Linked DNA regions of Xenopus tropicalis. The protein of the gene in region 2 purifies or fractionates together with the protein of the main gene of each other region. This does not show direct contact. Links are inferred from orthologs where the notes say so. Each region holds a gene or a part of one and is shown on either strand. Other genes may lie near its edges.

Region 1 (4,348 bases), on a different chromosome or scaffold from region 2:
TTTATGGAGAGGAGACTCAGCTTTCCCCATGGCCAAAGAGGGACCCAAAGAGACAGGGGACCCAGTAAAAAGCAGCTGACATTCCCCATTCACAGCCCCTATGGCCCATGGGTGGTATGGGGGTGTCCAGAGATCCCAAGGTACACCCCTGGCTTCACTGTATTGGACAAGATTATTCAACTGCTTCACAGGTGCCAAAGAAGAAGGGCAGAAAGCCTGGGCAAGTGGTGATGATAGTGGCATAGGTTACCTTAGTAACCTTAGTAACTTAACTTTATGGAGAGGAGACTCAGCTTTCGCCATGGCCAAAGAGGGACCCAAAGAGACAGGGGACCCAGTAAAAAGCAGCCCACATTCCCCATTCACAGCCCCTATGGTCCATGGGTGGTATGGGGGTGTCCAGAGATCCCAAGATACACCCCTGGCTTCACTGTATTGGACAAGATTATTCAACTGCTTCACAGGCCTCATACACAGGCCAATTTCAGTTGCCGATATTTGTCCTTTAGACCTTGCCAACAAGCGGATCTTACAGTGTATGGCCCCCTTTATAATCAACTTGGTTCTCAGCTTCTTTTCTTACACAATACCCAGAAGTCATGGATACCATTACAAATCACAAGGCACTAGTACCCACCCAGGCGGCACACAATTATTTACCTACTGGGCACTTAGGGACCTAGACTGTGGGCCCCGCCAACAAGTCACCAATGGAAAAATAAGAATAATGGGCAGCACATGCATAACCAAGGCCCTGATCAACCCCAGTCACATCCCATTAGAGTAAAATCTTGCCCACAATCCACCTAAACCCTACCCACTCCCCCTGCCCTTTAATGACCAGTGAATCCTTCTTCTGGAGCCCCCTCTGCCACAGGGCCTCTGATTGCAGCACCCCTTTACCCCACTGATGGCAGCCCTTCCTATAGTAATTGGAAACACAATTGCAATTCTCTGCCCATGGCTATGATGCAGGCTACATGTTTGCTGAGATGTCATTTGGGGCAATGTAGTAAATCATAAATATCCCCATAGACACTGTATTGCCTGCTTATATAGTAACCTGGGATCCCTATGGAATGGGTTATTCTAGGTGCAACCATTAAGCAGAGATCATGTAAAAGCACTGCTAAATGCCAATTTGAGAGGGGAAAAAAGTACATAAACTTTCATAGAAATTTCTTTATTTTCCAATTACACAAATACAACTTTCCCCATTCGCGCCTTTAGCCTCGTTTGCAACACACACATGCAGTTGGAAGAACACCCCACTAGAGGGCGTTCTGAAGCGCCGCCCCCAACCTCGCACACTCATTGTTGTTTAGCACTTCCGCGTATTAGCGAGGTGCATGCTGGGAGGAGGCAGATTGAAGCCCGGGAAAACCTTATGGCTTGTTAGTTTGCGGTATGGAGGAGGCGGAGAAGAGAGAAACCATTATAGCTGAGCTGAGAGCGATAGAGAGCAGCGCTGCCAACCTGTGAGGCCCCGCTAGTGTGAATGGGAGAATGGTGACTATAGCGTTAGGCCCAGGGAGACAGTCACATGATGCAGTGTAAGGCGGCAGCGGCCCTGTGGATGTAGCGATCCGATTAGGGATATCCCTGCGCTCCTTCCTTGGTACCGCCATACCGGAAGTGTTCTGGGACGCGCATCCATTAATACCGTCCCGCATTTGTGCTTCAGGCATAGCTTCATGAGCCCGCACCTTGCCTGGCTGGCTGGGAAGGACATATAATGTGCAACGTTTGTTAAATATTTTGAGTGTATCTATCGGTGCTGCCTTCATTCTGGGGTTCCACTGTGACTTCCGGTATCACCCCAATAGGGGTGGGAGTTATAAATAAATCTCAACTTGAGGGTAGTGAGTTGGACATTGATGTAGTAAGCAGGAAAATATAAGGTACAGACTGGGTCCCACAATTCGGCCATATGCAATGGAATATTCTCCTGTTTGGTTAGAGATGCCAAGAAAGGCATAGGGAAGGGATTTTACACTAGAAGGAGCATCCCTGCTGGGCTCAGTAATGGAAATGACATGTTGTACAGTTCTGCACCTCACTTGGGTGGCGGGAATATCAAGGGGGCGGGGAATTAGAAGCACCCAATGACTGTCCTTAGAATACATTCAGACGTGTGATTGGATGATGGAATTGCATTTCTTATTATTAGAGATCTTTCTATTAATGTTGATGTGCCCTGTCTCTGACTGCACTGCTAGTCCTAACTCTTGGGAATGGTGATTCCTTCATTATTTATACATTGTCTGAATTTCTCTTTCATATTGGAAAATGCAGTCATACCTCCCAACTGTCCCGCTTTATGCGGGACAGTCCCGATTTTGCCACCCTGTCCCGCTGTCCCGGATAGCTGCAGATCTGTCCCACTTTTAAAGGTCTCTGCTCCCGTGACGCCACACGCACGTCTCCCCTTAGCGCCACAGCTTCTGCGCCGCTCACTTCAGTTTTAACATAAAGCCATTCACAGTGCAGCAGCTGCGGCACTCAAGAGACGTGCATGTGACGTCACGAGGAGGAGAAGAAGAGCCCTGGGGCACAGCCGGAGGAAGCTGGTGGTGGTAGGAGCAGGGGGTGCCACAGAAAGCAGGTTGACGCTGGGGAGGACACTGGAGGAAGGTTAGGGGCAGCTGGAGGACCCTGGGAGGCAGCTGGAGGATGCTGGGGGGAGCTGGAGGATGTTGGGGGAGCTGAAGGATATTGTGGAGGATGTTGGGGGGAGCTGGAGGATTTTGGGGGGAGCTGAAGGATTTTGGGGGGAGCTGAAGGATGTTGGGTAGGACGCTGGGAGGAGCTGAAGGATGTTGGGTGGATGCTGGGGGCAGCTGAAGGATGTTGGGGAGGATGCTGCAGTGGGGAGCAGCCCGTAGTAGGGGGACACTGCGGGAGGACCAGCAATGTTTTAGGGGGTCCCTGCTCTAGCGCCAATGCAAAACATAACACCTGGCTACCAATGTCTGGTCATGAGTTTGTCATTAAATACAGGTGCCACAGTGCATAATGAAATCCTTAGGGCCACAATATGTCATAAAATGATTGGGGCCACCGTGTCTGTCTTCTGGTGCACTTTGTGTATGTTATGCTTTTCAGGTGTGGTTTTGTAAAATGGGCCTGTTTGGGGGGGGCGTGGCCATAAAGTGGGCGTGGCCTAAAAATGTTGGCTTGCGCGCCAGACATTTCTGTCCCTCCTTCTGCTTTTCAAATGTTGGGAGGTATGAATGCAGTAGCATTGCTGGGTAGGCTGGCATGTTCCCATGATTTACTCTCTTATAAATACAGTCAGTGGCATGAATTTATATTTTGTGTTCGTTAAGTGACTCCTCGCTTTAGTGTTTTACACCATAACATTCCATTACACCTTTTTAGTGATCAAATTAAGGTGTTCTTTAAATTCTAAAATAGTTACTCATTTGCCTGTTATGGGACATCTATGTGTCTGTAGGCCTACAGTTCACCCTCTGTATACTGCCTGGCTGGGGTTTCAGGCCTGCCTGCCATTGCAAAGAGGTGGCCATTTAATTGAATTGGTATAAATGAATGTGGTTTTTGTCAGGAGAATCTACTTGGCAGTTAGCAAGGGAGGTGCTATGTGGGACATATTAATAGGCACCCTTGCAACTATTAATCATTTATTGGTGCCTATGAATTTACCTTTATAGATTCTAAGGTATGAAAATGGGTGGACACCCCTAGTGCCAACTTCTAGTGGCTCTGGTGCTGCTTCGGGATGGCAGAGATTTGCCAAAGTAAAAAATTCTTCCATGGTAGCTTCTATATTAGTCTGCATGTAATGTAAAATATGATGATGATGTTATGAATTTCGGACATGTTGGGACTCGATGTGAGGGCCGTTTATTTGGAAGAAATGGCCGTGTAGCTAATGTTAGGCTCTTCATGTAAAACTTACTGGCAGACCTTGCTAGGGTTGGCACGTAGTTGACAGGAGACAACTTGCTGACACTTGATGTGAGTGAGGACTGGTTATGTGGGATATATGTCTGTTTCAGTGGATATAATGAAATCCTAGCTACCGCAGGCTTTTATTCCAAGCAGAGGCTTTTGTTAGAACTTGAACACCAGTTAAAATGAACATTGAAGGTTCATGTGTGTCTATTTTTTTTTCTTCCTAGGGTGAAATCACTTAGAATATTGGTGGAATTCACAGACCCTGAGAAAGGAGAGCTGAGCCAGGCACAGGATAAGGTAATTGATTAACTGGGGAAAGAATAGCACTTTTTTTTTTTTTTAATTAAAATCAGTGTTTGCCATTGCTTAATGTTTTCTGGTCTGTCGCATATCTCTTTGTGCTTTCTGTCACCTCCCATAGCCCTCC
Region 2 (4,522 bases):
AGTGTAATGTAACTCTTTTACTCACCTTGTTCCACTGTGAAATGATGGATTCTGGGACTTGAAGTCCCTTTGCCTTTCACACTGGGTGGTGTACAGATTCTCTGAAAAGTAGAGTCCATCATTTCACAATGGAACAAGGTGAGGGAGGGGTTGAATTACACTGTTAAAATTAAGGAGGTGGGAAAATGGCAAATAGAAATAGGCTATCATGGTTTCCATTCAATCTGTGGAATCAGGTATGACTGTGTAAAAACAAATATATTTTAATTTATTTCTGGAAATTCAGGTACAATGTATGCACCTTTTCTAAATAAGCCCAACCAAATGAGTTCATGTTAAAAAGGGGGTATATTTTTCCTTTAATAATTCCTCTACCTTCTGTCATCTCTTATTCTAAACCGAAAACATCCTCAAGCTAACACCTCCAGCAACCACATAAATTGCTTAATATATCACAAAAGGGTGAAAGTAAGTCAAATGAATTGGTAGGTTAAGTATTAGCATTGCAACATTGCCCAAGAACAACCAAAGAAACCACTGTTATCATAATTTTAGCAGAATTAGACCACTAAATAATTGCTGCTGCTTAGTTGCTATGGTTTGCTGAAGTGGAGCAAAATGTTGCCAATTAAACATGCAGTTATTTCCTATGTACTTATGTTATCATTTTTGCTCAATAAATATATTCATCAAAGCCTTACCTTTTTTAGCTTTATATCTCAGATTGAACGGTTGGTTCTGCCAGATATAAGGAGCAAGTAATGGTGCAAATTTAGCCAGTATGCGCTCTATATACTCCTGAAGAATTTTTCTTTCTGTCTCTGCATCGCTTGGTTTTTGGGTCACCATATACAACTTATACTCCACAAAGTCTTCCACAACAACCAGTTTTTTGTTGCCATCCATGCTGGCTGAAGCTTTAATAGAAAAAAAGTAAATATTTACAATGAATAATCTAGGTTTAAGCAGGCTGAGACTAAACCGTCTATATTCTTTTGTCACAAAAGTAATTGGGGCAACAGAATTCATCCTAGATATGACCAATGTTCAAGAAGTTAATTGGACAGGAGACCTCTCCAACTGTTTATATTTAAGTGATGTGCCACATGTTTAATATCATACAAAGCTCAGCCACTGTATAATCAATCTCAAACTGCTTTATCCTTTGTTGTACAGATCCTTTTGTTGGGATGTACCAAATTGTTGACAGTTCAGCCTCCTAGAATATTTCCTCCAATACCTTGCAAGGGTTCAACTCAGTGTATGCATGTATGTATGTATGTATAACTTTATTTATAAAGCGCCACAAGAGTATGCAGAGCTGTGCAATCTTACAATATACAAAATTACACACAGGGAGGACAAGTGTTATAATAAATACAATAAATAAATATAAATACACCGGGAGTAAGTGCCATGTGATATGAGAGACAGTATAAAAGAGGCCCCTGCCCCGTAGAGCTTGCAATCTAAGTGAAGTGCCAGCCCTGGGCTGTCCTCCCACTGCAAGTGGGGGTCAGCATGCGAGGCACTGGGGTGGGTGCTGTGCCCCTCTGAAGCTTTAGTTCTTTAGTTGACAGGAGAAGGGCACTACTATATAGCAGGCCCCACGGTCCAGGCACTGTATGCTAGTTACGCCACAGACTCTGAGAAAGAGGGTTTTGATGTAATGTGTTCTCCCAGGACAGCAACAGGAATAAGGTATTAGTACCAATGTTCAACTCCGGTGTTTTTTCAGGATACAGATTTGATTTGGCCAAAGGCATGGATTCAGCCGAATCCTGCTGAAAAAGAATCTTAGCAGAATCCTGAACCGAATTCTGGATTTGTTGCATCCCCAATTAAAACAAAGGAAGAATCTAACAGAACCTTGAAGCAAAGCAATATCATTGGCATAAATGGTCCATGGCTCTTGTTTCACCCCAAAATGAAACGCTGCAAAGAGAAACTAGCCCACTGCCATTCCTAAATATATCCAATACAGTATGTATCCGCCATTTAGCTCTCATACATGCTGTAGCCAAAATAATCCTTAATAGAGGTGAAGCGGAGGCTTACTCTGCAACTAACAGCAGAAATCACTTGCGTTAAGCCTAGTTGAGGCGCATACATAGTAATACCCTCGGCAAGGGATAGAAAATCGCCGTGTTTTTACCCTGCAAAGCAAGTGAGAGATTGGGGCGCATGCGCAGCAGAATAAGATCTAATGCTGCGCGCAATTCATATGAATGATGGCGAATGAAGAATTCCCAATATGAGATAATGATACCTTTAGCGCCTGCAGTTAGTTTGCTGTAGCCGAACACCACCTCACTCCCATCTGTAACACCACGTTACTCTTGCCCTTTCCTCTAGCCTAATGTCTCAGCCTACTGCTGTTGGGCCAATCCGAACTTCTATCATGTCTGAAACTCTGCCTCCTGTTACATCAGAGAAGGGGCGGGGCTACAACACAAGCTTGGAGAGGGAAAGGGGTAGTAGGCCTGACATTCACTTCAGCAGCGTTCTGTTATGGAACAGGAGAAAGGGCTGAGAACTGACAAGAGAAAAAGCATGACAGCTCTTGCATTTTAGACGGTATGGAAACTGGCAAAATACATCCAATAAACATGCAGGGGGCGAGGTAAAAATGCAAAACAAAACAAATACCAGGAGGTGGGAAAAATAGAAAGAAGCAGATGATGGGGCATATTTACACGTAGGGAAAGGAAGTTAGGATTGGGATATGTCATGTTAAGGAAACATTTTACATTAAATATCACTTCTAAACACTTCTAATAACATATCTATCATGCAGAAAATGCAACATTACAAGTATAAGTTTTAATACAATAACATTACCATTCATTTTTAGGACGCCGCACAAAAATGGGGTTGTTGTGATTGCTTGACTTCCGGTTCAGACCTGCAGTTAGTTTCCTGCATTCCCCATCACGTATAGAGTCGGCTTGTGAAAGATTATTTTTTTGTACAGGTTGAGGGAGAGGGATGAGGGACGGACTGCTTCTCTTGTGCTTTGTCTGTGAGCCAGTGTAAAGGAAGTGGCTGAGCCGCTACAGGGAGAGGGAGGGGAGAGCTGCACAGAAGCATGTCAGCTGAGTTGCCAGAGATCTGCAGACTGAGCCCTATGGTAATATTTGAATTGAATGTGAGGAAAGAACAAACTAGAAATAATGGCATAAGTGTAGCAGATAAAATGGAGAAGACAAATCTGGGGTATAGTGAGATAATGGTACCCAGGGCACACAGGAAGTAAAATGTCAAATTTTGTGGCTAACCAAAGTATTCTTTTAATGTTACAAAAAGCTACACATTAAAGTGGGTGTGGCATTAAAGGTAGGCGTGGCCAAACTGCTGTAGTAAGATATGTGCAACATTTTCCTTGGAGGGACCATGTTTTGGTAACAGGAACCAGGGATTAGTTAAACTGTCCCTACTGCTCCCTTCTTACTTGTCATGATACATAGGGTGTGGGGTAGGTGCATAGTAAGGCTCAGCCCAAACCCACCAGGGTTTCTGGCCAAGCAGCACCCCGCTGCTCTGTAGGTCTGTCCTGTCTTCAAACTATACACCTGGCTGTCTCCCTCCTCCCTTAGATGCCAGATTTCTTTTTGCCTGTTAGGTATGGAAATTGGGCAAAAAGGATCCAGCAATGGGGCATCTGCAGGAAAACCACCATCTTGGCCTTTGTCCTGTGCTTTATACAGAAGCACCCATAGGCAGGTACACTGCATGCATGGGGTCGCTGGCATTGCAGGACAGATGGGCATATTTTCATAAGGCAGGAATGTGGAACTCTTGCAGTTGCTGAATTGCAATTTGGATGTTGGTGGGATGGTGGAGGATGCAATACAGCATTATCTAGAATTCAGCTTGGGCAGAAATATCTAAAAATACCTCCAAAGTAGATCATGCCACATACCAAACAGTTACACAGACATGCTCTCAGACCTTCTCATTTTGTCGCATACAGACTTGCCAACTCACCTGATTTTTTCAGGAATCACCCTAATTTAAGTCATGATGCACCCCTATCACTACTGGTCCTGTATGGGGGTGCATGAGGGCCAGTTCGGAGATTTGTGATAAATGTTTTTTTCTTATTTTATTTTTCAAAATAGTCCTGGAATCCCAGCCCAAAGGCAGTTGGGGAAAGATTGGGGGTGATAATTTGAATGCTTAAAATATGAACTATGTGCATTTGTAATAACACTCTATTATGGGTTCTGAGCTACTGTAAAAGGATGTATGTGTAATGTCATTGTAATATGCAATGTGAGTTGGTGTGTATGTGAAAAAAGTAGGGGCAGGAGGAAACAAGCCTTATTTATATATAATAGCAAAGGTATTTTCCTTTGGGAAATTATGGACTTTATTAGTTTTAATCTATAAATAAATTCCCTATGTACATCCATAATTGCCCAACTGGCACTACCTTTGTTAGTTAGGGTTAAAAAAAAAATGCCATTGCTCTACACTAGGGGGCACATTTACTAAGACATGAATCTGAACCGAATTGGAA

Evidence for each region. The genes of interacting proteins can lie anywhere in the genome.
Region 1: the proteins of ecd (region 2) and tssc4 purify together in Homo sapiens (affinity purification with mass spectrometry; 3 studies listed by BioGRID and IntAct, counting the BioPlex papers as one, with this or other methods). This does not show direct contact. The link is inferred for Xenopus tropicalis from reciprocal best matches to the Homo sapiens genes ECD and TSSC4.

The regions. Positions count from the first base shown.
Region 1 is NC_030680.2:22,340,868-22,345,215, forward strand, and holds the start of tssc4 (protein TSSC4), read left to right. Parts: upstream 1-1,305; 5' UTR 1,306-1,478; exon of another isoform or gene 1,479-1,553; intron 1,554-1,576; exon of another isoform or gene 1,577-1,901; intron 1,902-4,145; 5' UTR 4,146-4,218; intron 4,219-4,348. UniProt on the Homo sapiens protein: Protein associated with the U5 snRNP, during its maturation and its post-splicing recycling and which is required for spliceosomal tri-snRNP complex assembly in the nucleus.
Region 2 is NC_030683.2:38,362,444-38,366,965, forward strand, and holds the start of ecd (protein ecdysoneless homolog), read right to left. Parts: upstream 2,981-4,522; 5' UTR 2,849-2,980; coding exon 2,842-2,848; intron 2,624-2,841; exon of another isoform or gene 2,602-2,623; intron 2,578-2,601; exon of another isoform or gene 2,468-2,577; intron 2,408-2,467; exon of another isoform or gene 2,270-2,407; intron 2,150-2,269; exon of another isoform or gene 2,059-2,149; intron 918-2,058; coding exon 702-917; intron 1-701. UniProt on the Homo sapiens protein: Regulator of p53/TP53 stability and function. Inhibits MDM2-mediated degradation of p53/TP53 possibly by cooperating in part with TXNIP. May be involved transcriptional regulation. In vitro has intrinsic transactivation activity enhanced by EP300.